7 linked regions of the Macaca mulatta genome follow. The protein of the gene in region 7 binds, or shares a complex with, the protein of the main gene of each other region. Links are inferred from orthologs where the notes say so. Each region holds a gene or a part of one and is shown on either strand. Other genes may lie near its edges.

Region 1 (4,141 bases), on a different chromosome or scaffold from region 7:
TTAGAATTCTTCTTGCTATCCCATTAGCAAATTGCCCGTGATGCTTGAGACAATCTAGTTTGTGCTTACTCAACAATGACGCTGTTTAGTTCTCTTCTACAATTGTGGACAGGAGTTTCTTGGATGGCAGATATGTTATTTTAAATTATTTCCCTAACGGCTTCCATGATGTGAAACATGCCTCTGGAGGGTTTTACCGTACCGATCAACTTTTGGACAGAAACCGAATCTGGCATTTGTCCGCTGGGAGGGTGTGTCTCGCGCAGACAACTGTTCCCATTTCCAAAACACACACCAGGCTGGGAGGTCTTGGACCACTGTGACTCCCAGGTACCTCCCCTCTGAGGCCGGGCCGAGCGCCCGCACAACTGCCCCTTTGACGTCCCTTCTTCCAGGACACTTGCAAGCAGAGCTTCACTTATGGCTCCGGGCCCCTCAACAGCCCTTCCACAATCGGCAGAATCCCTTTAATTACACAAAGGCCCGGAACAAGCTTTAAAGTGAGAGGCCATCAACAGGCTTTTAAGAAACCTAATCCTCCACTGTGGCGCAAAGCTCAGGCAGGAAAGCCAGGACAAGTTTTCATATCAGGATAGTGAACAAAGAATGGGCGGCGGGGGCGGCGCAGCACCATGCACCCACACAAGTACTGCCTCTCCCTCTAGCTCGGCTCCTCATCTTACCCCGAGGACACGCAAGCCACCACCCAAGCCCGGGAAGCCCCCCTGCCCAGTCCCCGCCCACCTGCCGGGCACCCCGCGGTCTCACCTGCAGACTTGGAAGGGCGCATCCCGAGCTCGCGGTCGCCCCGCCGCCGACCCCGGGTCAGTCTGTAAATGCAGTAGCAGGCGCCGGCGCCGAGGAGCAGGCCCGCCGCCACCCAGCCCGCGCCCCGGGGGCCACCCATTCTGCAGCCGCGGCAGAGCCGCCGCGCTGGGCCAGGGCAGGAGGCTCCTGGGGGCCAGCGCGGAGGTCTCCAGATCACGCGGGCCTAGCCGCCACAACAAACCGCGCGCGACCTGGATGTGGAGAAAGGAAATGGGGTCTGAGCTCCGCCTCCCGGAAACGGCTCAGCTCAAAGCCTATAACCGCCCACTCCAGCGCGGCGCCTCCCGGCGGCTTCTCCCAGGCGAGGCGGGGCGGGGCGCTGGACGCCAGGAGGGGAGGCTAGGACGGTGCGCCCCACGCGGAGACGCCGGGGCCCTGAACCCGGAGCCGAGCTTCCCGTCGCTTCTCCTGTGGCATGAAGCAAGCCTCCCTCCCTCCTGCCCCGGGCAGCGGAGCGAGGGGCGGTGCCGCGTCCAGCCCCGCCCCCTGGTTGCCAGGACAACGCCCGCACGCACCCGGCTCCTAGTCCCAGCGCGGGGAGGGTACCAGCGCAGCTTCTCCGTCAGGCCTTGGGCCATGGCCTCCCTACGCAATGCCAACCCGAGGCTGAAGAACTACTTCAAGGAGAACTATATTCCTCAGGTCTGCGAGGTACTGGACACGCGTGGCGGCGGACACGGACCGACGGTGGGGAATTAGAAGGGGGAGGAGTCAGGGAAGACGTCTCGGAGGAGGGACTAGGTTTAGGAGTTGAGGGAGGAGGGAGAAGGCGGGGCGGAATGCGAGAAAGTGAAGTCAAACTCGGACTTGTAGGCGATCTGGGCTGAAGATGCTGATCAGAGAGAAGACAGAGGGTGATGGTAGCTGCAAGTGGGGAATGGGTCACATCTCCCAGGGGAAATGAGCACAAGGCCCAGATCGGAAACCCCAAACTCAGCTTTTAAGGTTTGAACAAGAAGTGCCTGAGGAGTGGAGGAGTGAGAAAGAAATGCCAGAGAGGCTGAGGAGGAAAATCAGCAGACTGTCATTATGAAGAGTGTTGTCAGAAGTAGGGAGTAGGCTCTAGTCACCTAAGATAAGGACCTGGATTCTGCCCAAGGTGAGCCTGAGGTTTCCATGGAGCCGTGAGTGCAGAAAATAGATGGAGGTTAGCTGAGGGGAGAGTGGAAGCTGATACCTTTGGTCAGTGTAGTCAGCCCTTTGTGAAGGTAAGGACCCTCTCAACCGGGATTGCCTTTAGACAACAGGAAGGGCTACCCTTCCACCCCCATTGTAATAGGAGGGAAGGAAGACAGGAAGGGATAGATACTAGGTTTTGTAGGTTTTTGGGGGTTGGAAGCTGAGAACGTTTGCCTTTGTTGACCTCTTTTTTTCTCTACAAATAGTTGATGAGATATTTTCCAAGAATGTGCGTGTTTGAGTGGGGATGGGGCTGTTGGTGCAGTAGGAGGTTCGAGCAAAGATACGCTATGCGGGGAATGAGGAAGAGAGATGTCTAGGGAAGGAAAAAGGAGGTCCCAGCTGAGGGTAGTAACGATCCTAGGCGGTTGGGAGGGCAATTTGGTAGAGACCCCCGTCTCCTTTTTGGATGGCAATTGAGAAATATTTATTAAAATGTTAAATACATGTACCCTTTAACCAAGCATTTCCACTTCTAGGGATCTACTTTAGAGAAATACTTGCACATGTGTTCAGAAGGATGTACAAGGATGTTCATTATAACTTTGTTTCATAGTAGAAGTAGTAAATGACCTAGAGTGACTAAGCGAATGAGGTATTATGTAGAATAAAGTATATCTGTACCTACTAAGAAGAAATGCCCTCCAAGACATATTATTATTATCGAGACACGGGGTGTTGGTCTGCCACCCAGGCTAGAGTGTAGTGGCTCCATCCTAGCTCGCTGCAGCCTCAAACTCCTGGGCTCAAGCCATCCTCCCACCTCAGCCTCCCAAGTAGCTAGGACTACAGGCATACACCATATGGCTGGCTCCCAACACATATTATTAAGTAAAAAAGAAAAAGTGCAAGTTGCTTAGCAACTGTCCATTCTGCTCTAGCTATCTGATTTCATGTATGTTGTATATGTGTTTATGTGTACATATATGTGTGTGTATCTATCTTTAAGACAATAGTGCATGCATAGAACCTATGCCAAATTGTTAATAACAGATGTCTTGTGGAATGGTTTTGGGGGAGGAAACGGGGAATTCTAACTTTTTGCTCTACCCATAGCTGTATTGTTTTAATTTATTATAGTGAGTTTCATGTTGTACCTCTATACAATTGTGCTTGAAAATATGTAGGGAGAATGGTACCCATCTTCCCGGTTGTGTGATTTTTGTCAAGTAGCAGTCAGTAAACCAGATGTAGGTACAGAGATAACCAAGTTGACTTCGTCTGGGATAGGAATTTGCCAGGCATATGTTAATAGAATAGAAAGGCAGTAGGTTAGGGAGCTAAGCTCCTGAGTATCTGAAGTGATGGGCCAAGGACTCTAAGGACTCAGTGGGAAATGAGAAAAGGATATGATACTGATATATGTACAGAAAATGGAGACTCCTAAGAGGTGAGTGAAGAGAAGTAGAGGGAGTAATTAAATGAGGGAGCTGGAAACATAGGAGGTGGGGGTCAGAAAGTGGAATGTTTATATTTACAATTCAGGGTGCGGCCATTCTGAGTGGTGATTCAGTCTGTGATATGGCGGTGCAGCAGGTGGAAGAAACAGACTTGAGTTGAGGGTACATCAAGGAAATGGTGGCCTCTTCTCATCTAGCCTGCCAGTTACTATAACATCACAAAGCTGCAATGAGGCAGTCCCCAGTTCCCCCTCTGGGTGAGAGCGCTCCTGGCTTGCCACATTGTTCTGCACCCAGAGAGGAGGCCCTTATATGCATTCCCCATTGTCTAAGATCATATTCTCCTGAGAAGTCCTTCACTCACCTCTGCTACCACACTAGCAGCAAGAACAAGGGAGCAGTCTTCTGGGCCCCACACACCCACCTTAAACTCATTACCTATTTCTCCTAAGAGACTATCAAGATGAATTCCATTCTGCCTCATATCTATTCTGTCTGTACATTTATTCATCTGACTCAATTTCCCAGATGGGTTTTATACTTTTTTTTTTTTTTCTTTTTTGAGATGGAGTCTTGCTCTGTCGTCCAGGCTAGAGTGCAGTGGCGCCATCTCGGCTCACTGCAACATCCACCTCCTGGGTTCAAGCGATTCTCCTGCTTCAGCCTTCCAAGTAGCTGGGACTACAGGCACCTGTCATCATGCTCAGCTAATTTTTGTGTTTTTGGTCGAGATA
Region 2 (3,500 bases), on a different chromosome or scaffold from region 7:
GCAGTGACAGGACTTTCTACAGTAGACAGCGGCCCTTGGTGGAATCTTGAATAAAGTGTAGTCCCTCAGTGTGCATGGAAGCTGCATTCCCAGAAAACTCCGAATACGTTGAAGCTGCAGAAATACTGTTTATACATAGAACAGGTCTAGGTGCTAGCATGCCTGAGGCTGGCAGGATCTGGTGATGGGCAGGAGAGCACCCAGCTCTCACCCTGCAGGCCACAGCCCCTTTGGTTCTGCCTGCTGAGCCCCTGCTGGGCCTGTGCTTGTGCCTGCAGGAGCAGATGGAGGACATGCGGAAGAAGGAGGACCACCTGGAGAGGGAGATGGCAGAGGTGTCTGTGCAGAACAAGCGCCTGGCAGACCCTCTCCAGAAGGCTCGGGAGGAGATGAGCGAGATGCAGAAGCAGCTCGCCAACTACCAGAGGGACAAGCAGATCCTGCTTGTGAGTTTCCTGCTGGATTCCTCTCCCTCCTTGGCACGAGTTAGCCTAGACTCAGGAGGAAGGAGCATCACAGGGGCAGGAAGGGAGACGGGGGAGGCCTGCATTTCTCCTTTTTCTGCCTTGTGTTCTCCTGGGGAAAGTAAAGTCTGGGGGTGTTTTGGAGACAAGGCCCTCATCTTCCACCGTGTACTACTGACCTGCCTTGATGGGGCTCAGCTGCTTGTGTCCTGGAACCATGTCTTTCTGGTGATTATTTTTGGCCTTGCCATCTCCCAGGAGCCTGTGTTACTTGGATGACTGTGAATCTTGAATACTTTCTGTCCCCTACTCCGTTTTTCCTCCAGTGCACAAAAGCCCGTTTGAAAGTCACAGAGAAAGAGCTGAAAGACCTGCAGTGGGAGCATGAAGTGTTAGAGCAGCGGTTCACCAAGGTGAGTGGGCACCAGGCTGGCCCTGCAGTGGGGGGTGGCACCCCTGCTAGCCAGGGACGGGGCTCTCCTTGTGGCCCTGGCCCCTGGACCAGCTTCAGATACCTTGGCCAGGTTTTTGGGTTCTGAAGCTGGGGGCCCTATTCCCTGTAACTCATTCCACAGCTTCTAAGAGGCAAAAACCTTTGGCCTATTCCGCATGCATATCCTGCAGAAGGCCTGAGGTCTCATGGGGAGCAGATCACACATGACTTTCGGCCCCTCAAGCGCTCACCTCTCAAAGCACATGAGGGATGCCTGGCCCCTGCAGCAACTCCTTTCTTCCATGGGTTTATGTTTCTAAGTGCTAACCTATTACCTTCTCATTGTAAAGAAGTCATGGGGTCTTAAGTGTAAGTGAAAATGAGCCTCCAGCTCCTCACGCTGGCGCGTTTTATGAGCTCCCTTCCAGGTTTCCTGCATGCTCTAGTGTGGATGTGACTGTGTGTGTTATGAACACGGGATCAGGCCATAAGCACAAGTTGCTTTTTAATCTCACAGTGTATCAGGCTGCACACAGGAAGCCGTTTCATCCTTCTCACAGTCACGTGGTGCTGCATTTCATGAATGTTTGATCATTTAGCTGACTCCCCTCTGTTTCTAATCCTCTGCTGTTATAAGCATTGCTGCCTCGATCCTTTTAAATTTGTCTTTGTGCACTTGTGTGAGATTGCTTCTTAGGAAAGCCAGTTCCTAGCAGTGGGATTGTTGGGTCTGAGGGGTCTGTGTTGAGGGTTCTGATCTGTCCAGAGGGCTGCTCTGAGTCACACACCTGCCAGGGTGCGGAGGGGCCGTCTCCATCCTCAGCTGCACCAGATCTGACAGGTTTAAACCTTTGCAGAAGAGTCTGGGGGGAAAACATTTCATTTCGTGTGCCCTTCCGAGATTGCCAGTGAGTGGTAGGGATGCTTGGTCCTGTCTTTGTCCCTCAAAGAGACTCCTTGCCTCTGTTGATTTTCAAAGTTCTGGCCAAGGACCAATCCTTGCACCATGGGGCCCTCAAGGCTTTGTGTGTGGTGTGCGTGGCCAGATCATCTTATCTTGAGCTGCAGTTACGTGTGCTGTTTGTGTTCTCTAGCCTAACTGAAATTCATGAACACAAACGGTTGTAGTAGGATTCGCCCCTCGGAAACATCCCATCTGTCGGAGACACCTCAGGTCCTACCTGATGTGCATTGCTAGGCTGTGCCGACTCTTGGCACCTAAGGGAAGGGTGCCCCAGTGAGACTCTGAGGACTGCTGTGTTAGGGGCCCTTCCTCCTCCCTGTGAGTTTTGAGGTGGACATTACTGGGAAGAGGAGAGCAGAGACGTACCTGGGCTGGAGTCTTGTTCCCTGCCGTATTTTCTTCCATTTGAATGTGGTTCCTGACAGTGTCAAAGTCCATGTCTCTTCCTAGAGAACTGGGAGCTCAAATTTGTCAGCAAAATTTAGAGACCAAAGGCACTTACTTATTTATTTTTATTTTTTGAGATGGAGTCTTACTCCATCGCCAGGCTGGAGTGCCGTGGCGCGATCTCGGCTCACTGCAACCTCCGCCTTCTGGGTTCAAGTGATTCTCCTGCCTCAGCCTCCTGGGTAGCTGGGACTACAGGTGCCCACCACCATGCCCGGCTAATTTTTTGTATTTTTAGTAGAGACGGGGTTTCACCATGTTAGCCAGGATGGTCTCGATATCTTGACCTTGCGATCCGCCCGCCTCAGCCTCCCAAAGTGCTGGGATTACAGGCATGAGCCACCGCGCCCGGCCCAAAGGCACTTATAATCCACGTGCCTGCGGACAGGGAATTGGATTTAAGCAAATCTGGGGAATTCTAATTAACAGCAGTTAGAAGGGGTACAGGGCCAGGTGCTGTCTTGGAGGTGCTCCAGGTATCACAGGTCGTGCTTTGAAAAAAGCTGCAGTATTTTAGCATGATCCTGTTTTCTTCCAAACAGTCATAAATGTTTTTACATGTATAGAGAACATTCTGGAAGGGGTCACACCAAGTGTTCACAATGGTGGGTGGCCTCTGGGAACTGGGGTTAAGGGTGTTAACTTTTTTTTTTTTTGAGATGGAGTTTCGCTCTTGTTGCTCAGGCTGGAGTACAATGGCGTGATCTTGGCTCACTGCACCCTCCACCTCCTGGACTCAAGCGATTCTCCTGCCTCAGCCTCCCGAGTAGCTGGGATTACAGGCGCTTGCCACCATGCCCAGCTAATGTTTGGTATTTTTGATAGAGATGGGGTTTTACTATGTTGGCCAGGTTGGTCTTGAACTCCTGACCTCAGGTGATCCACCCACCTCACCCTCCCGAAGTGCTGGGATTGCAGGCGTGAGCCACTGCGCCCTGCTCAGGGTGTTCACTTTTTTTTTTTTTTGAGACGGAGTCTCACTCTGTCGCCCAGGCTGGAGTGCAGTGGCGCGATCTCGGCTCACTGCAAGCTCCGCCTCCCGGGTTCACGCCATTCTCCTGCCTCAGTCTCCCGAGTAGCTGGGACTACAGGCGCCCACAACCGCGCCCGGCTAATTTTTTGTATTTTTAGTAGAGACGGGGTTTCACCGTGGTCTCGATCTCCTGACCTTGTGATCCGCCCGCCTCGGCCT
Region 3 (4,079 bases), on a different chromosome or scaffold from region 7:
GCTCGTGTGTCCCCAGCCCACAGTTGTCCTTGCATCTTTCTCCAGATCAAGTCCTGCAGTCAGGCGAGCATGGAGAAGGCGAGCATGGAGGAGACAAGCATGGGGTCAGAATTGGAGCTGGCAGAGCAGACGGAGATGGAGGGAGCAAAGGAAGAAAGCCTGGTGGAAGGGGAGAAGGAGGAAGAGGAGGAGACCCCACCCTCCCCCTGGGACATCCACCCCAATGATGTCCTCAAGATTCTGGAGGCCTTTGTCATGGGTCTGAAAAAGCCTAGGTGGGCTGCGGGGCTGGAAGGCTTGCCTGAGACCAGAGCCAGGGGAGCTGGGTGGGCTGGGGAGCCAGGCAGAGTCAGTGAGTGGAGAAGAGTGCGCTGGGCAAGATACGAGGACTAAGGACAGGGCTCTCTGAAGGCAGGCTAGGGCAACCAATCACTGGACAGAGTCAGGAAAGCAATAGGGCGTAGTAGTGATTTGTGCTTTTTTTCACTCATCATTCATTCAGCAGACATGCATTGAAGGCTGCCATGTGTAAGCACTGTGGGGACACTGCCTTGTGATCAGAGCAATGGTCAAAGCACATTCAAGGTGCACCGTTGTTCAGAGGAGGAAATGGCCATTTCCATTTGGCACGTCAGAGAGGGTTTTGGGAGGAAATGGCACCGGAACTGGGTGTTCCCAGGCAGATAAAATGGAGGTAAGGGCATTTCAGGAAATGGCAGCATGGGGAAGGTCAGGTCTGTTCAAGAATCATCACAGGAGGTGTGGCTGGTGGGTCAAGGGCCTGGGAGGTGGCACTGGTGGGTGGGGAGCCAGCCAGGTGTTGGAGAGCCTTGCCCAATGTGCCCAAGATCTTTGTCTTTACCCATTGGTGGTGGGAGCCAGAAAAGGATTTGAAGCAGCTGAAGAGCCATGATTAGCCTTGTATTTTAGAGAGATCATTGTGGCGGCAGGGAAGGGGCGAAGCCAGATACAGGGAGAGCATCAGGAGGCTTGTCCAGGTGGGAGGTGGGGATCCTCCAGATAAAGGCTGTCATGGCGGGATGGAGAGGCCATGACTGAATTCCAGTACTGTTTTGGATGCGCTGGTGCAAGAGACAGGCACAGCGATGAGCTGTAAAGCAGTGAGGTAAACTGACTGGGAGAGAGAGGGGTGGATGAAGCACTGATCATGCCCTCACGAAGGTACCGGTGGTACCGAGGCAGGAACGCTGACGATAAGCATGTGTCCTTTCTGAGAACCTGCCACCATCTAATAAACTGTGTCCTTTCTGAGAACCTGCCACCATCTAATAAACTGTGTCCTTTCTGAGAACCTGCCACCATCTAATAAACTGTGTCCTTTCTGAGAACCTGCCACCATCTAATAAACTGTGTCCTTTCTGAGAACCTGCCACCATCTAATAAACTTGGACTGCTGAGTGGGAAGGTGACAGGTGGGAAAGCAGTAGGCCTGTGACTGGCACTGCTTGGGGGCCTGGGTAGTACCCAATGGACATGACAGTCACAGTGTTGTTGGCCTTCAGGGACTCGCGGGCCCCGCCAAGAGTGCAGAAGAATATGCGCAACAACTCCAAGGACTCAGAGTACTGGCAGGCCCTGACCACGGTAATCCCTTCCTCCAAGCAGAACCTCTGGGATGCCCTCTACACAGCCTTGGAGAAGTACCAGTAAGTGTGCATGTCATGGAGCAGGAGGGTGCTGGTGGGCAGGTGAGGAACGGTTGCTGGGAGCAGCCGTGTTTGCTGCCCCCCTGTCCCACCGAACCTGGGAGGGAAGAGCTGCCCTTGGCAATTCCTGTGTCGGTGGATCATGTGGGGCGGTTGGCTCTTGGGCCCTGGCCTGCCTGTTCTGTTCCTGCTAACCTGGCTCACCTGGCGGCTGGGTGAAGCGTGTAGCTTCTGGAGTCTCCCTCCACCTGCAGCCAAAGCAGAAACACCAAGACCCTGGCCCCTACTTGGCAGAGGATGGAGGATTCAGTGAGCCTCTAACTGATTTTTTTGTCCAAAGCATTGTCTTGACCCAGAGGGCCAAGCTGCTGCTGGAAAACAGTTCTCTGGAGCAGCGGAACACAGAGCTGCAGGCGCTGCTGCAGCAGTATCTGAACTCCAAGGTGGGCAGCGGGCCTTCCAACGAGGGGTGGCAGGAGATGGGTGGGGCGGGGGGACTGGAGCTGGGATTAGGGAATGAGGAGTCCCCTCCCGCCCAGAGGCAAGGGAGCTTTGCGACGTGATGTAAAAAATCAACAGTGACACCTTGAGACAATTACTGGCTAAAGGAGTAGATCTTGCCTGAAGTCTCCTCCAGGACAGCTCAGGTGTGACAGTGTCTGATACCGTGGTTTCTGGTGCCAGTGGCCTGCTGGGACCACTCTGTGTGAAGCAGTGCCACAGCCAGGAGCAGCTCCCCAGCTACAGAGCCTCCAGCTGTGCTTTCTTCCATCCTCACACCCGCTGTGTGAGGTGGACAGGGCGGAAACGATGCTCCTCATTTCACAGAAAGGACAATCACAACTTGGAGAGTTTGCAACTCATCCAGAGCCTGGGCTCTTTCCACCCGCCAGCCCGGGTTCCCTGCCTGGGATGTGACTGGAGGGTCGTCCTCACATGAGGGAGGAGGCTCTGCTGGGGCAGATATTCCCTGGTCCCCATCTGTGCCCACCCCCACAATAGTTGTGGGCAACTTCCCCATGGCCTGGCAAGAGGAGGAAGGAAAAATTCCATTGCTAACATTTCCTGCTCTGTGGTGGAGGTGCCTGCGGCTGGGGCTGTAGGCCAGGAAGGTCATGACACAGCTGTTAGTTGCACACGTGTGAGGTGACTGAAGCCAGCTCCAAGTCCAGCCACAGGGGCTGTGTGGCCCCAGCACAGTCCCAGGTCCCAGGCAACAGCTGAAAGGGGGATGTTGTAGTGAGCCTTGGCCTCATAATGACCCTTGGCCTGTGACAGGACCCAGACATTCTGGACAGTATGGTTCCTGCTTCCACAGATGCTACTGTGTACAAGAGGCTTGGGGAGGAAGAGGTGGCGCAGGCTAGACTGGGGATGGCATGGGTGCATGGAGAGAGGAAAGGGGAAGATTGCAGAGAATGGATGGGTGGGAGATGAAGAACGCTAGCAGAGGTCACAGCTGGAGCAGAAGCTGAGCAAGAAGGCTCAGGCGTGTCTCCTGCAGGAAGGCAGCCTGTGGGTGCTCAGCGTCTCTCAGCTTTGGAGAGGAGATGCATGCAGGGCTTCGGAGGCCCATGGGAGAGCCAGCGTGGCTCGCAGGGGTGGCAAAGGAAGGAGGGCCCTGGGGAAAATTTAATGACCTTCACCCTTCCTTTTCCAGATCAACTCGGAACTGCAAGTTCCTCCCACTCAGGTGTTGCGGGTACCCACAAAATAGAGCTGGAACTCCAAAGGCTGATGTGTTAGGGCTGGCCTGATGCTGGTGTCTATGCGGGAGCCAGCTCATATCACCCACTGGGACGCACCTGGGCCGGCTCTCTGGATTTTCCAGGGCTGTCTTTATAGCCTGTCGAAATAAGGAGCCAGAGGAGTTACCTGTGTCCTGCATTATGATTAAAGCCTTTTAAAAGTTGTGGCTGAATCCTATTGAAATAAGGAGCCAGAGGAGTTACCTGTGTCCTGCACTATGATTAAGCCTTTTAAAAGTTGTGACTGAATCTCTTTAAAGAGGGCAGGTCTAGCAAGACCAGGCCCTTGCCCCTACCTCTGTGTCATGAGGGGACTTTGCCCCAGGCTGAGATTGTGGAGTGAGTCAGAGGCTGAGGCCAGTGGCGTGGGGCTCCTTTCTTGCTTTCAGGGGAAGCTGGTTTCCATGGGTGGCGGCTGGAGCTTTTGGGCCCTTGTGGAGTCTTCAGTCTTCAGACTGGCCCCAGACCTGAAGGATTCTTTTGGTGCTTTGGGGGCCCCTGGGCCCAGGCTGGTGTAACCTTTGGGGTATAGTGTAAGACTCCTCCTGTGGGCAGCCTGGGTGGGCAGCCCTGTGCCCGAGATCTGCTTTGAACCCTGGGCCATCAGAGGCCACTTGAAGGGGAAAGGCCACGGGAGCCCTGCTGGTGCGGAATCCACCAGCCT
Region 4 (3,500 bases), on a different chromosome or scaffold from region 7:
TCCTCTCAGGCCTTCCAGAGTCTAATGTACCTCGAATGAACCATGGTTTTCCCGAGAGTTCCTCTCAGACCTTCCAGACTCTAATGTACATCGAATGAACCATCACTTTCTGGAGAGAGTTCCTCTCAGGCCTTCCAGAGTCTAATGTACCTCGAATGAACTATCGCTTTCCCAAGAGTCCCTCTCAGACCTTCCAGAGTCTAATGTACATCGAATGAACCATCACTTTCCCGAGAGAGTCCCTCTCAGGCCTTCCAGAGTCGAATGGACTCCTCCCTTGTTATTTCCTCCCACAGCCTGTCAAGCTTTCCTTTTCTATCATTTTGCACAATTTTTGAAAGTTTACACATGTGTTTGTCTCTTTTTAACCACCTCTCTTCTATTAGACTGTAAGCTCTATGAGGGCAGGGAATATGTCTGTTTAGATCTCCATGATTTTCCTAGAGCCTAGCTCTAGGAAGAGCCTGGTGCTGAATAAATATTCAGCCTGGTGCTGAATAAATATTTTTCTTAATGACTATTGAGTCCTCGCAATTGCCAAGCACTTGGTGACCTGCAAAAAGAAAGCGTTTTCACACGTGTTCTCAATGAAACCTAATAATCTCTGAGATACTTCAGTCAGGGTGGGTGTTGTGTGTGTGTGTGTGTGTGTGTGTTTTATAGAAAGTAAAAAAGTTGGAGATTTGACTAGGCCAAGTTCACACAGCTGGAGGCCTGGGTGGGAAGTCAGTTCTTTTCATCATTTTGACCAGTGTTCTTCCTACCAAAATGAGAAATCTGTGTGGGAAATATGGACATACCAGTAATGTGCCTGGGAACTAATCTCCGCCCTGATTCGCCCTGATTCTTCGAACTGCTGTATTACTCACTTTCCTCTCTGCATGATTGTTGGCTAAATTTCCCGTTGTGTGACAGCGGAAAACTAGTTCCCGTTCCTTATTGATTTACACTTATAAAAGGGAACCTTAAGCCACTGGCTGAACTGAATGGCGGTAGAATGTATTTTCAATTTAGAAACCTGGTCTTTCCATTGCAGAGTCAGAATGAATATATTGCTAACCTCAAGGACCAACTGCAAGAGATGAAAGCAAAATCCAACTTGGAGAATCGCTACATGAAAACCAATACTGAGCTGCAGATTGCCCAGACCCAGAGAAAGTGTAACAGAACAGAGGAAGTCTTGCTGGAAGAGATTGAGGTAATCCCTGGGACATTAGTGAAGAACCCAGGAGATGGCATTTGAGCTGTCACTCCTGATCCTGTCTCAGCTAACAAAGGAGGGAGATGAAGATTTCCTCCATCTCTCTCGGCAACAGCCCCTCCACTTGAGGTTGAAAATGGAAGCCTAAATGAGGATACACATGTTCGCAAGCGGAGATTCCAACGGGCTGTAGCCTCCTTCTCCTGCCTCATAATGACTTTGAAAATTGGCTGTACTTTCTCTCCTCGGTCACTTCTTATTTTATCAAACCAATCGCCATTTCTCTAATTATAGGGAGAGGGCAAAACAAGATCCTTAGTTATGGCAGGATTTTGCTGCTGTTTGTTTTATCTAGCCAGTACTTTTCACTCCTCCAGTAAGAAATACAGCATCTTGAGAGGTGAACTTCATTCAAACCTGAATTTATGGAGATGAGAAGTCATGGTGAAAAATATCAGGAGGAAGAAAGTGGTAGATCTTCTTTGAGGGGAATGCGAAATGGCGCGCGCACGCGCGCGCACACACACACACACACACACACACACACACACACACACACACTGCACACACATACACAAAGCCAGGCACTAGTCCCAGCTAATTGGAAGGGAGGCAGGAGGATCCTTGAGTTTGAAGCCAGCCTGGGCAACATAGGGAGACTCCCTTCTCTCTCTCTCTCTCTCTCTGTCTCACACACACACACACACACACACACACACACACGCAAAGAGCAGCAGGCAGATGGGAAGACGGAAGAAGGAACAAACGTCCTTAGACCATGGAATTTGTGTGTGGGAGGACTCCTTGCTCTGAGACTAACGTGGCTTAAGGCCACGACAACAGTCTTCCTGGCACTCTGGAATTTCCCTTTTTTAGGCCCCACAGCCTTGTGCCCTTGGCGCACCGTTTCTCTCCTTCAATGGGCACCTCTTTTCAATTCACGGGATTGCGCACCTTTCGTTAGGGACACTAACACAGTCCAGACAGTGCCGCGTCATGTGTCTCTGCGGTGTTTGTGAACAGGAATTGCACGAAACTGAATTCCCGGCATCCCAGCTGGTAAAGGAAACCTGAGCTGCCGACCAAGCTGCTCCTCTAATCTTGAGAACTTCTGATTCACAGCCCTGCAGGGAAGACGTGCTGATGTCTGATTATTGTTCTTACAGAAACTCAGGATGAAAACCGAAGAAGAGGCCCGGATTCATATGGACATTGAAATGTTCCTTAGAAAGCAGCAGCAGGTGGGTCACCAAAACTTTTCTGTGCTTTGAGTCTTTTTGTACTCTGCTCATACTGAGGAAACAAAAAAAATATTTTGAAGAAAAACCAGCCATCATTCTTTCAGCCTAATGAGCTTGAGCTCACATGTTATTTCAGGGTTGTGCATCTGAATAGATATCTTATATAGTTACAATCTGAGAGAGTACAAGTAAAATTTTGTTTTCCGCTTTTATCATTGAGCTTAGATAAGAAATTTTTTGATTCCTATATTGCTGTATACTCATAATTTTTAAATTATGACTTAATTTATGACAAAATTTAGTAAGTCAAATTATGACTTAAAAATTTATGGGCCGGGCACAGTGGCTCACGCCTGTAATCTCAGCACTTTGGGAGTCTGAAGCGGGTGGATCACCTGAGGTCAGGAGTTCGGGACCCGCCTGGCCAACATGGTGAAACCCCCTCTCTATTAAAAATACAACAATTAGCCAGGCGTGGTGACAGGCACCTGTAATCCCAGCTACTCAGGAAGCTGAGGTGGGAGAATTGCTTGAACCTGGGAGGCAGAGGCTGCAGTGAGCTGAGATTGTGCCACTGTACTCCAGCTGGGCAACAGAGCAAGACCCCGCCTCAAAAAAAAAAAGACATAATTTTAAAATTAATTATTTTTAATTATGACTATATTAAAATGTTTTCCCATTAGTATAGTGGCCAATAAATAAAAAAGAAAAATAAAGGCCAGGTGCAGTGGCTCACGCCTGTAATCTCAGCACTTTGAGAGGCCGAGGCCGGCGGATCACCTGAGGTCAGGAGTTCTAGACCAGCCAGGTCAACATGATGAAACCCCATCTCTACTAAAAATACAAAAATTAGCCGGGCGTGGTGATGCAGCCCTGTAATCCCAGCTATTCGGGAGGCTGAGGCAGAAGAATCGTTTGAACCTGGGAGGCAGAGCTTGCAGTGAGCCGAGATCACACCACTCACTCCCGCCTGGGTGACAGAGCGAGACTCTGTCTCTAAAAAAAAAAAAAAAAAAAGATTTACTAATTTTTTACGTTATAAAAATAACATTCCCAGT
Region 5 (4,050 bases), on a different chromosome or scaffold from region 7:
TAGCACAGAGCTGCAGGGAGAGTGAAGGCTGCCTGACAAGGGAGGGCCACCCGTCATACTCTCTCCCCCACATTAATTATTCCAGCCACTCCTGGCTCCAGCAGGACACTAAGAAGTATCCCCAAAGGGAGTCACCCCCAATATTGCCCAGTAAATAATTTAAAAGCAAAAATGTGGGAAACTCAGGAGAAGGTCAAACAAGTCCACTAGAGGGAGCCCCAACCAACTCTATGCTGCAGGGAGCCTCACAAAGCAATGTCTCAACACCTGTCTGAAAATCAACCACACAAGGGAATGGGGAAATGTAGCAATAGATTAAGTAACTAGGAGAGAAGATAGCCATGTAAACACCTAGCTAAAACACAGGCTTTTCAAGAGCTACAAAATCAAACATTTAAAGATCAGGAAACTGATGCTGAGCAAAGTCAAATGGCTTGCCTCAGTTTACATATCCACAGTTGGGACTCAAACTCAAATGTCTTGTCTCTAACCTGAGCACTTTCCTGCACACTTGCATCCCTCTAGGTCAGTACCCTAGAGTCCATGGGTCTGCTGTTCCTTTGTGTCTCATTTCTCTGAAGTGGGAAACGCCCTCGACTACCTATTCCTGTACTTATTACCCTCATTCCACAGTGTACTGAAGAGGATCTTCAGTGGTTTGGGGTTTTTGTTTGTTTGTTTGTTTGTTTGTTTGAGACAGGGTCTCCCTCTGTCATCCAGGCTGGAGTGCAGTGGTGCAATCATAGCTCACTGCTGCCTCAACCTCCCAGGCTCAAGTGGTTCTCCTGCTTCAGCCTCCCGAGTAGCTGAGACTAACAGGTGTGCACCACCCTGCCAGGCTAATTTTTTAATTTTTTGTAGAAATGAGGTCTCACTGTGTTGTCCAGGCTGGTCTTGAACTCCTGGCCTCAAGTAATCCTCCTGCCTCAGCTTCTGAAAATGTTGGGATTATAGGCATGAGCCACCGCCCCCAGCTTAGATCTTCAGTTTTAAACCTACTAATGTCATTTTGCTGATGGGACCTCGGGATGTCAATTGTCCAACATGGCTACTGTCAGTCCTTTTCCTCTGTATCAGCACAACATATTATCTCAGATGTGTACATCTGAATTTGGAAGTCTCCAAATTGCAGGCCATGTCTACGTGGCAATGAATCATAACCAATCGGCCTCCAAAGCCCTTTCTTTTCAAACTATACTTAGGGTTTTGGGATAAGGAAAGAACTGACCCTTTGAGACCTTGATATTTTAAGCTTTGTGAGCTGATTTAGCCCATTCCACCTTCCTACGAACTCCATGTTTCCCAGTTGCCTGGACAACATACAGCCTCCCGAAACCCAACCTTCCAGCCCTCAGTCCTGCCCTCAAGAGAAATTTGTCACCAAGGATTGGCTCCCAGGACCCAGGCCCCGCCTCAGGCTCCTCGCTAGTTGGGCCTTCTCTCTGCCACTCCCCACGGGTGGGTCACTCCACAGGGAGCCCCAACACTGGCAGGAGAGGATCCTACAGGTAGGAAGAGGGGGTTGAGGATGATGGGAAGAGGGAGGGGAGCAGGTACAGGGATTTATCTAAAAGAGAGTTGTGAGGAGTGACTTCCGTACAGTCAGCCTGGTTGAGAGAAAAAACTTCACCCTCCCCGTTGACCCCAACCCTGCCTGAGGTTCCAAAGAGACTGTGAACTGACTTTTCTGAAGAGTATGAGATACAAATTTGGAGTAGAACCAGGAGACTCCCCTGAGACTCCTGATTCAGTCAGGAAAGCATCCCTGTGTCCAGACCTAAACATAAGGTCCCCTCCTTCTCCCAGGACAGCAAGGAGATGCCACTTAAAAACAAAGAAAAAGGGAAGAAATCTGGGGCGCAGAAGAAAAAGAACTGGGGTGAGTCATGGTGGGTGGAGGTGCCCCCTGCTTCTCCATGTTCTGGCATGAAGACCACGCAGAGCTCCTCCAGAGAGAATTCAGCCTTCTACATGACAGGATGGAACTCTCTTGACCTTCCTCTTTCGTGTCCTTGAAGTCAGATGCAGGGAGCTGAGGAAGTGGGGAAATGGTCACTCACGCTCTCCTTTAAGCACCATCTAGCTTTGTGCCTTCCTAATATATTTGTCATGTGTATTTTGCATATCTGTTATGTGCTGGTTGGTAAGGACACAGTGCTGACTTCAGTAGACTCTGCCACCATGGATCCCTCATTTAGTGGTCCTCAGGTCTCCTGTGGCAAAAGTGCAGGGTGTGGGGTGAGGACGCAAGGAGAGTGAGGAATGCTGAGATCACGAAGAGCTGAGGCTCTGCCACTTGCCACAGCAGGTGCAGATGTGGAGGCTGAGTCCAGGCACAGGCTGGTGGTGCTGGAGAAGGAGCTGCTCCGAGATCACTTGGGTAAGGAGGGTAGAAGTTGGCATGGGGGTGGGCAACAGGGCAAGTGAAATGGGGCATTTCTGTATCCTGGGGGATTGGAGAGTTGGAGATACAGTGGGGGGCTAAGTTGAACCCTAACCATCCCCTAGTGGAAAAAGACAATGAGAGAGGGGTGGGCAGTGAGAGTTGATAAAGGAAGCTTTTTTTTTTTTTTTAGACAGAATCTTGCTCTATTGCCCAGGCTGGACTGCAGTGGTGTGATCATAGCTCACTGTAATCTCAAACTCCTGGACCCCAACAATCTTCCCACCTCAGCTTCACGAGTAGCTGGTGCACACCACCCTACCTAGCTACTTTATTTATTTATTTATTTTTCTTTTTTAAAATTTATTTTATTTTATTATTTCATTTTATTTTATTTTACTATCTTTTTTTTTTAAGACAGAGTCCTGTGCTCTGTTGCCCAGGCTGGAGTGCAGTGGCGTGATCTTGGCTCACTGCAACCTCTGCCTCCCAGGCTCAAGTGATTCCCCTGCCTCGGCCTCCCAAGTAGCTGGGATTACAGGCACACAGCCACCACGCCCGGCTAATTTTTGTATTCTTATTAGAGACAGGTTTTCACCATGTTGGCCAAGCTGGTCTCGAACTCTTGACCTCATGATCCTCCCACCTTGGCCTCCCAAAGTGCTGGGATTACAGGCATGAGCCACTGCGCCTGGCCCTATTTATTTTTCTTATAGAGACAAGGTCTCACTCTGTTGCCCAGGCAGGTCTCAAACTCCTGGCCTCAAGCAATTCTCCCACCTAAGCCTCCCAAAATATTGGGATTACAGGCATGAGCCACCATGCCGGGCTATCCGGAAAGCTATTTTGTATAGGCAGAACATGGAGAGAGTCTTTACTTCTTAATAATGAGGAGCCTGTGAGACTCTAGGGATAAAAAACAAAAACAACAAAACCCAGAGAGAGAATAAGAGGCTGGACGCCCCGCCACCAGATTTCTAGAGACGGGCAAAATTCATCAAGTTCATGGGGGCTGATTTAGCGGGCCCCAGCCAGTCCTGACAGTGGCTCTGGGACTGCTCACAGCTCTACGGAGGGATGAAGCCCGTCGAGCCAAGGCTTCCGAAGACCAGCTGAAGCAGAGGCTGCAAAGGGTGGAGGCTGAGCTGGAAGGGGCCCGAAGTGAAGGGAAGGCCATATATGCAGGTGTGTGGTCTGTTGAGCAGGTGGGCAGGAGACAGGGGCCTGGAGGAAGACAACCAGCAGGGTCAGATGATGCAAGGAAGGGAAACAAGGAGGGCTTCCAACTGCCAGGCCTGGTCTTGGTCTTCCCCGAACAGTACAAATCAGGCAGGATCCTGCAGGAATCAAAGGCAGGTAGGTTCCTGGGATCCCAGGCAGGGGCCTGCCAGGATGCCTGGTGCCATGTGCTTGATGCTGTGTAGGATACGCATGCAGTCATAGCCATCACCTCAACCATCCTATGGGAGGGGAGAAGGACTAGCATCCCCATCCAAAGCTGGACGGTGGGGGAGGTGGGTTGGGCTTCCTTTCCCTTCCTCAGGTTTTCATGGTCTCTAGCTTCTCAGAATCACAAAAAGAACCAAGAAGACCATGGGCCGGGAGTGGTGGCTCACACCTGTAATCCCAGCACTTTGGGAGGCCGAGGCGGGCGGATCACGAGGTCA
Region 6 (3,500 bases), on a different chromosome or scaffold from region 7:
AAAGGGAGAGAGAAACCAAAAACCAAATAGAAAAGTGGGCAAGGGCAAAATATAAGTACAAATAATTCACAGAATAAGAAACACAAATGGTTGTAAAACATGTATTGCTCATCCCCACTTAAGAGAAAATAAATGCATACTCAGGGTGCACAGACTGGCAAAATGAGGAAGCCCGTGACACTGGCCTGACGATGGCTGTGGAGGGTAAAGGTTCTGTGGGTTACAGGTGGACAATAACCATGAAAAAAAACAATGCACAGTTTCCACTTTTAGGACTTCATCCTGCAGGTCAAACTTGCACCAACTTATTCAGTGGAACACTAAAGAGCAAAAGGTTGGGGAAAAACCTAACTGTCCATCAACAGGGACTGGCTAAATAATTACGGCTCACCCACGCAATGTGATATTTTAGTTATAAAAAAATGAAGTAACTTTTTCATTTTGGAAGGCTCTCCAAGATACCTAACATAGGAAAGCAAATTACAGAACAGGGCAAGCTATGCACACACACACACACACATACACAAGAAAGCAAAGTATAGAATAGGGCATGCTATGCTCACACACACACACAGGAAAGCAAAGTACAGAACAGGGCATGCTATGCTCACACACACACACAGGAAAGCAAAGTACAGAACAGGGCATGCTATGCTCACACACACACACACACACACACACACAGGAGTAGGAGGGAGACCGTATCCCCCGGTGGCCATTGTTCTGTCTGTGCCATGTGCACACACCACCCATTCGAGAGTGCAGCTGACTACACACAGACGTGCTGTCATCCTTTTAGGCTGACTGCTCCAGGCCTTGCACAAGTGCTTTCCCTCTCTGTCTCTGTTTCTCACTACAGTTCTTCCAGGTGGTTATCTCTGTTCTGCACATGAGGAAATGGAGGCTAGGAGAGGGTCCATAATGGATCTCTGGGTCACCAGTGAGGAGTCTGCCTGAGCCCCAAGCCTTACATGGCTGCACCATGACCCTGAAACGTGGCTCACTGGGCACCTGGAGCAGCGCATGTGCAGTGGATGAGGCCTAATGGGGGTGAGTGGGAGGAGTGTAGGAAAAACTATAGGAGAGGGCCTGTCAGGGAGGGAACTGGGGGTCTGCAGGGCCTATGGGGTCTTGGGAACTTCTAAGTCAGTGGCCTCTATCTAGGCTGTGCATGGAAAGCACCCGTGGAACAATGGAAAATCCCTGTGCCAGGCCACGCCCCAGTCTAAGTGGGTGCTGCTGGGCCTGGATGCGAGCACATTTCCAGGGCCCGGGGACTCCACATGAAGGCTGGGCAGGATCCACTGCTCTTGGCTCTAGAAGGGGAGCACTAGGGTAGTCAGCTCGTCCGAGGTGGCCTTTGAGGAGCTGGCCCGCACTGAAGGCAGGTGCCTGAACGGAGGAGCAAGTGGCACGTTCCATGCTCCAAGTCAGGCTTGGCATGGCCCACATCCTACTTCTGCAGAGGGACTCGCTGCTGAGGGGCTGGGTCCCTGCACCGGGCCTCAGGAAGCACCGGATAGCTGACACTCCCAACCCCAGTGGCTACAGGGACCAGATAAATGTCAGGAAGAAAGGCTGGACAGGGACTGGGGGGACTGGAGACATGACCTGTCCAGAGGGGACAACTGCCACTCAAGCCCTGATGACAGCTGCTTCCAGAGAAGCTGGCAACCACAAATTTTTCTGCGAAATCTGCTAGTTTCTAATGTCAGCAGGATGTTCAAAATGTTTTAAAACCCTACACAGGCCAAATAAAACACATATGTGAGCCAAATGTATTCCTCCGCCGACAGTTTTGAACTTCTGGTTGAACACAGTAACCCCTGCTCCCTAAAATATAATAAGGAGGGTCTTGAGAATTAAATCACACAGCATGTGAGGCCCTGGAGGTTAATGAGACAGGAATGGGGGTGGCCGTGGGGGAGGCGGGAAGCACCTGGGAGTGGATCATCGACTCCATCAGATCTGAACTTGCGCATCGAGGGACTTTGCTCTACTTTAAGTTCACAAGAAGGAAGGGCCTTATGGGATTCCTAAAGCCCCTTATGCTACAAGCAAGCTTGGTGTGTGTGAACAGTTTTTGGAGGAAAAAGAAGGTCCACAGCTTTCCTTAGCGTCTCAGAAAGATCTGTGATTTACAACAGGCTAAGCATCCTGTCTTTAAAAGTAATGCCAACTCAAAAAGGCAGCTGCCATCAAATACAAAGACTGGTGCCCTTCCCAATGGCCTCTGCTTGGGCTGGACCCCATGGCCTGGTTAGGCCGAGTCCTGACCACCCAGAGCCTTCTCCTTTGCTGCTCCTAGGGGGTGGAGGAACACCCTTCCTCTCCATCAACTTTTCTTTCTTCTGTGAGCCTCAGCCTTCCCTAAACTCCCCCGCCTGAGATAAGGTGCCCCTAGGGCACCCCGAAGGCTCCCCAGGCTTCCCTCCAGGATGGCACTGATTCCTCTGCTTGCTCAGGTCAGGGCTGGGGCCTGGGCCTGGGTCTGAGCCCCACAAGAGCAGGAACCATGTCCAGTGTGGCTCTAGCTTCCTAGGAGCAGGCAGAGAGTAGAGCTCAGAAAACGTCTATTAAATGAATGAATGAATGAACAAAAGGACGGTAATCATTACCGTCAAAATAGTAATGGTAATACTAATACTGTTATTAATAGTAACGATGATGATAAGTTCGGGGATGGAGCTGACCTTGAATCCCAAGGGCGCTTTGTGTGACAAAGATCCACAGGCCACACATCAAGTGGTGGGGAGCTGTAGTTGGTGGGGCTGGGGTAAGGCAGGCCTTGGCTCTGCCACTGATTAGCTGTGTGATCTCTGGCAAATGGGGACAATAACCATTGGCCTCAGGGGTCATCAGAGGGTATAGGAGTTGCAGCCCCTCTACAGTGGGGGTGGCAAGAGCAGGGAGGGCCTCCAGCAGGAGGCAGGGAGGGCCTCAGGAGGCTCGGGGCCTACCGACAAGTGCTTCTCCTCGAACTGGGCAATCTTGCGTTTGCCCTGCTCCTGGTTTTCCTGGATAGCCTCGTGGACACATTCACTGAAGGTGTCAAGCTCTATTTTCCGCTTCTCCTGCTGTTTCAGGCCATACTCAAAAATGTTCACGCAGATGATGACAAACTTGTCCTTGTAGGTGAGTGGCCGTTAAGGAAGTCCACAGCTGTTTCAGGAGCAGGCTGCAGAGGGCATGGCAAAGGTGTTGGTAACCCTGGCACTGTGCGCTCAACAGTGTGTGGGACTCAAACTCCTGGTCTCATGTGTTTCATTTGGTGGATGAAGAAATCAAAGGCCCAGAGAGCCAGGACTGAGATGTGGGTACAATGTGTGTTTGGTGCGTCCCCACCCTCAGCCTGAGGGATTCAGGAATGGGGCCTGTGCGAAGGAAGGAGGCAGGGACCATTGGGGAATCTATAGAGCAGAAGGCAGACATGCTCAGAGAGGTCCCAGAAGAGAGGCCTAGGGAACCTGGGGGTCTGTGAGCTGGTCTCAGCTGGGGAA
Region 7 (4,233 bases):
TGCCTGTATTGTCTTTGCCCATTGGCTTTCAACTGGGGTGATTTTTGCCCCCACGGGGACATCAGGAATGTCTCGAGACATCTTTGTCACAACTTGGGAGTGAGGGGATTGCTGGTGGGTGGAGTCGGGGGATTATGTGGCTCAAAATGTCAATTGAGCTGCTGTTGAAAAATCCTATCTTAGCTAATATCCCCACTTTACGAATGAGGAAATTGAATCTTGGAGTGGTTAACTTGCCTCTTATAAGTTTCAACCCAGGTAGTTTGAATCAGGGAACCTTCCTGCTTAACCATGACCCTATATACACCTACGACTAGAACCAGTACCCTGATTTGAATTCAAACACGTCATTTGTCCAGCGAGACAAAAATGAGGTCCAGAGAGGGGAAGAGACTTGCCCAAGGTCACACAGTGCAGGAGCGGGGCTAGAACCCGGGACTCCTGAGTCCTGGTCCAGTGTTCCCTCCGCGGGCTTTGCTTCTGCCTCTACAGAGGACCCAAATGGCCAGCCCTGGGGAAAGGGCCTAGGGGAAGAGGGCCAGCTGCCATGCCGCTGTCCGCTCGGGCAGCCTGACCCGGGCACGAGACTCCTGCGGGGTCACCTGAGGGCGCCAGGGAGAAGAGCGAGGGAGGGAGCAAGAAGGAGGCAGGAGCGCTGGCTCCAGCTCCGCGTGCTCCCAGCCCCTGGCTGGGTGCCCACGTGAGGGTCGCCCCAAGAAGTCGGGGGCAAGGAGAGAGGGTGCAAAGCCCCGGCCCGGGCTGGACGGAGAGAAGCGCGGCGGAGACTTCCCCGCGCCCTCTCTGGGCCCATTCAGTCCACCTCCCACACCAGAGTGTCGCGCCGCAACCCCTTACTCCGCGCCCTCTGACCCTGATCCCTGCCCTCTCCCTCTGGCCAAGTCCTCGCATCCCTCGGATTCTTACACGCGCCGCCCCAGCAACCCGGACCGCGCGCCGGGGTCCGCACCACGCAGCCCAGCCCGCCGGCGCCGCCGCCAAAACCCCGAGCCCGAAGCTGTTGCAGCCGCCGCAGCCGCCGCCACTTCAGCCACCGCCACCAGGGTAGCTGCGCCAGCTCTCCCATCCGCCGCCTACCGTCCTCTCAACCCCGCTCGCCCCGCCCCATTTCCCCTTCACAGCGTCCTACTGGCTAACTGGGCTACCATGATGAGCTCTGATTGGTCAATTCTCACGTCTTTCCGCAGGTCTCGCCCGCAGCCGAGGCAGTACTCCCTGCCCGCCTCCTTAAGAAGGGGCGGGACGAAGAATCCACGCCCCTTTCTCCTCCCATCTTCCCCGCCTTAATCGTTGAGTCCAACCCAGAGGGAGTCCCAAGTCTTTCCATTGGTGCAAGGTCAAAATGGCGGTGCTTCTGATTGGTCAGACTTCAGGAGGTGGGGACAATTGAGCGGAACAAGAAATTGAATGGTGAAAAGAAAGGTCAGTCAGACACAGAGTCCCGCCTTCTGAGATTGGCGGGTAACCTCGCAACGCTGGGACTGCGGCGGTAACTGTGGCTAGGGAAACCTGGAGCCGTCAGAGCGGGTGAGTAACCAGGTGGGAAAGGGTCGCGGATCGGGGGAGATGTGGAATGGGGTTCAGCCCGATGTCCTTTGGCTCCCTGAGAAATTGGTAGCCCCCGCTGCGATCCCGTCTCAGCTTCAGGACCCCGTCCCTCAGCCCCTGCCTCAGTCTGGACCTCTGGCTCCACAGCCTGCAGGGAGCCGGCCTCCATTCTTCCCCTTCTACCTGCCCACTTCATGGCCCCACTCCCTCATCCCTAAAACGACGAGGACACCAGTCAAGCAGAGTCACATCGTAGTTAACTTATTTCAAGTCAAACATGGGAGCTGTGGGTGGGAGGGGGGTTTATAAGTCCCCTCCCATTCCACCCAACGACCATACGTTCCTCGGTGAGCGGGCCATCTCACTTAAGTGTTTAAATTAGGTAGTTTTTGTTTGTTTTTGTTGTTGTTGTTTTTGCCTAGCGCGGTGACTCACGCCTGTAATCCCAGTACTTTGGGAGGCCAAGGCGGGCAGATCACTAAAGATCAGGAGTTCTAGACCAGCCTGGCCAATATAGTGAAACCTCATCTCTACTGAAAATACAAAAATTAGCTGGGCATGGTGGTGCACCTGTAATCCCAGCTACTCGGGAGGCTAAGGCACGAGAATCACTTGAACCCGGGAGACCGAGGTTGCAGTAAGCCAAGATCGCGCCATTGCACTCCATCCTCGGCAACAGAGCAGGACTCTGTCCCAAATAAATAAATAAATTAGGTAATTTTTATTATACCACTTTGGCCTTTGTCCTAACTTTGGAATTTATTTCCCATCTCCGTCCTTAAAATGTAATCTCTTTGTACCTACTAAAGATAGAGAGTTTCTTGTGATGATTAAATGAGGCTGAGGGCTGGGCACAGTGGCTCAATCTGCAATCCCAACAATTTGGGAGGCCGAGCGGCGGATCACCTGAGGCCAGGAGTTTGAGACCAGCCTGGCCAACATGGTGAAACCCTGTCTCTACTAAAAATACAAAAATTAGCTGGGCATGGTGGTGCATGCCTGTGATCCCATCTACTCGGGAGGCTGAGGCAGGAGAATTTCTTGAACCCGGGTGGTGGAGGTTGCAGTGAGCCGAGATGGTGCCACTGCACTCCCGCGGGGGTGATAGAGCGAGGCTCCATCTCAATAAATAAATAAATAAATAAATAAGGCTGAGGTGGAAGAATCGCTTGAACTCAAGAGGCGGAGGTTGCAGTGAGCCATGATTGCACTGCTGCACTCCAGCCTGGGCCACAGAGTGAAAAACCCTGTCTCAAAAAAATATATAAAAAAGAAAAACTTTGAGGTTCAAAAGATATTTTCGTAAGAAAATGAAAAGATCAGCCACAGACACAGACATGGAGGAAATATTTGCAAATCTCATGTGTCTTATAATAGACTTGTATGTAGAAAATAAAAATAACTCTTATAACTCAAGAGGACAACTCCATTTTTTTAATGGGCAAAAGAGTTGAGTAGACATTTAAAAATCAAAAAGACAATCCCAAATATCATCATGTAGATAAATAAACAAACTAGCTTTCATATATTGCTGGTAGGTACAGCAGAATACCAATTGGTACCACCAATCTGAAATATAGTTGGCAGTTTCTTAAAAAGTTAAACATAGGCCAGGCACAGTGGCTCATGCCTGTAATCCCAGCACTGTGGGAGGCACAGGCAGGTGGATCACCTGAGGTCAGGAGTTCGAGACCAGCCTGGCCAACATAGCAAAACCCCGTCTCTACTAAAAATACAAAAATTAGCAGGGCATGCTGGCGGGCCCCTGTATTCCCAGCTACTTGGGAGGCTGAGGCAGGAGAATCACTTGAACCTAGGAGGCGGAGGTTGCAGTGAGCCGAGATCATGCCACTGCATTCCAGCCTGGGCAATAGAGTGAGACTCTGTCTCAAAAAAAAAAAAAAAAAGCAAATGAGTATTTCATTATTTTGATCTGAGCTTTACGATTTTTCTTTTCTTTTTTTTTTGAGATGGAGTTTTGTGTTGTTGCCCAGGTTGGAGTGCAGTGGCACGAGAATTGCTTGAATCTGGAAGGTGGAGGTTGCAGTGAGCTGAGATCACGCCACTGTACTCCAGCCTGGGCAACAGAGCGAGACTCAGTCTCAAAAACAAAACAACTACAACAAAAAAATGTGAGTGGAAACAGAGATCGTTTGCAGATTAGCTCATGGGAATTTGGTGGAGTGATAGAAATGTTCTAAAACAGGATTGTATCTAAAACTGATGTGGCAACTTTAGATACATTTACAAAAATAGTAATTGAGTTTTATACTTACAATGGGTGAATTTTATGGTAATGTAAATTACACCTCAATAGAGCTGTAAAAAAAAAAATTACACGCGTGGTTAGTACCATGCAGGAAAGGTGAGAGAATTTCCACAGGTTGTAAAGTGCTGTGTGTTCCTGTCTGAGAAGGGGTAGCCATTGAGCTAAGACCTAAAGAATGAGAAATTGTTAATCCAGGGAGAAATTGTTCATGGGGGAGTTGGTTTCTGACATAAAGTAACATTATACGTTAGTGCCTGAGAGCAGGAGGGGTTTGAGATAGGCTGTTTTTTGTTTGTTTTGTTTTTGAGACAGAGCCCCTCTCTGTTGCCCAGGCTGGAATGCAGTGGTGCAATCTCAGCTCACTGCAACCTACGCCTCTCGGGTCCAAGCAATTCTCC

The links.
Region 1: IQCD (region 7) and FBXL13 share a complex: the UniProt entries of both Homo sapiens proteins name them as parts of the nexin-dynein regulatory complex. The link is inferred for Macaca mulatta from reciprocal best matches to the Homo sapiens genes DRC10 and FBXL13.
Region 2: IQCD (region 7) and GAS8 share a complex: the UniProt entries of both Homo sapiens proteins name them as parts of the nexin-dynein regulatory complex. The link is inferred for Macaca mulatta from reciprocal best matches to the Homo sapiens genes DRC10 and DRC4.
Region 3: IQCD (region 7) and DRC1 share a complex: the UniProt entries of both Homo sapiens proteins name them as parts of the nexin-dynein regulatory complex. The link is inferred for Macaca mulatta from reciprocal best matches to the Homo sapiens genes DRC10 and DRC1.
Region 4: IQCD (region 7) and IQCG share a complex: the UniProt entries of both Homo sapiens proteins name them as parts of the nexin-dynein regulatory complex. The link is inferred for Macaca mulatta from reciprocal best matches to the Homo sapiens genes DRC10 and DRC9.
Region 5: IQCD (region 7) and DRC12 share a complex: the UniProt entries of both Homo sapiens proteins name them as parts of the nexin-dynein regulatory complex. The link is inferred for Macaca mulatta from reciprocal best matches to the Homo sapiens genes DRC10 and DRC12.
Region 6: IQCD (region 7) and DRC3 share a complex: the UniProt entries of both Homo sapiens proteins name them as parts of the nexin-dynein regulatory complex. The link is inferred for Macaca mulatta from reciprocal best matches to the Homo sapiens genes DRC10 and DRC3.

Annotation. Positions count from the first base shown.
Region 1 is NC_133408.1:142,775,410-142,779,550, reverse strand, and holds the start of FBXL13 (F-box and leucine-rich repeat protein 13), read left to right. Parts: upstream 1-1,341; 5' UTR 1,342-1,404; coding exon 1,405-1,479; intron 1,480-4,141. Other genes in the region: ARMC10 (armadillo repeat-containing protein 10), read right to left, coding at 769-907. UniProt on the Homo sapiens protein: Substrate-recognition component of the SCF (SKP1-CUL1-F-box protein)-type E3 ubiquitin ligase complex.
Region 2 is NC_133425.1:85,499,618-85,503,117, forward strand, and holds part of GAS8 (dynein regulatory complex subunit 4), read left to right. Parts: intron 1-278; coding exon 279-446; intron 447-790; coding exon 791-877; intron 878-3,500. UniProt on the Homo sapiens protein: Component of the nexin-dynein regulatory complex (N-DRC), a key regulator of ciliary/flagellar motility which maintains the alignment and integrity of the distal axoneme and regulates microtubule sliding in motile axonemes.
Region 3 is NC_133418.1:98,552,782-98,556,860, reverse strand, and holds the end of DRC1 (dynein regulatory complex protein 1), read left to right. Parts: intron 1-45; coding exon 46-275; intron 276-505; coding exon of another isoform or gene 506-557; exon of another isoform or gene 558-703; intron 704-1,523; coding exon 1,524-1,667; intron 1,668-2,007; coding exon 2,008-2,110; intron 2,111-3,327; coding exon 3,328-3,384; 3' UTR 3,385-3,579; downstream 3,580-4,079. UniProt on the Homo sapiens protein: Component of the nexin-dynein regulatory complex (N-DRC) a key regulator of ciliary/flagellar motility which maintains the alignment and integrity of the distal axoneme and regulates microtubule sliding in motile axonemes.
Region 4 is NC_133407.1:1,021,875-1,025,374, forward strand, and holds part of IQCG (dynein regulatory complex protein 9), read left to right. Parts: intron 1-1,036; coding exon 1,037-1,198; intron 1,199-2,367; coding exon 2,368-2,442; intron 2,443-3,500. UniProt on the Homo sapiens protein: Component of the nexin-dynein regulatory complex (N-DRC), a key regulator of ciliary/flagellar motility which maintains the alignment and integrity of the distal axoneme and regulates microtubule sliding in motile axonemes.
Region 5 is NC_133419.1:119,883,260-119,887,309, reverse strand, and holds the start of DRC12 (dynein regulatory complex protein 12), read left to right. Parts: upstream 1-1,250; 5' UTR 1,251-1,295; coding exon 1,296-1,508; intron 1,509-1,806; coding exon 1,807-1,879; intron 1,880-2,305; coding exon 2,306-2,380; intron 2,381-3,448; coding exon 3,449-3,568; intron 3,569-4,050. UniProt on the Homo sapiens protein: Component of the nexin-dynein regulatory complex (N-DRC), a key regulator of ciliary/flagellar motility which maintains the alignment and integrity of the distal axoneme and regulates microtubule sliding in motile axonemes.
Region 6 is NC_133421.1:19,565,256-19,568,755, reverse strand, and holds part of DRC3 (dynein regulatory complex subunit 3), read right to left. Parts: intron 3,136-3,500; coding exon 2,961-3,135; intron 1-2,960. UniProt on the Homo sapiens protein: Component of the nexin-dynein regulatory complex (N-DRC) a key regulator of ciliary/flagellar motility which maintains the alignment and integrity of the distal axoneme and regulates microtubule sliding in motile axonemes.
Region 7 is NC_133416.1:120,462,522-120,466,754, reverse strand, and holds the start of IQCD (dynein regulatory complex protein 10), read left to right. Parts: upstream 1-1,433; 5' UTR 1,434-1,545; intron 1,546-4,233. UniProt on the Homo sapiens protein: Component of the nexin-dynein regulatory complex (N-DRC), a key regulator of ciliary/flagellar motility which maintains the alignment and integrity of the distal axoneme and regulates microtubule sliding in motile axonemes.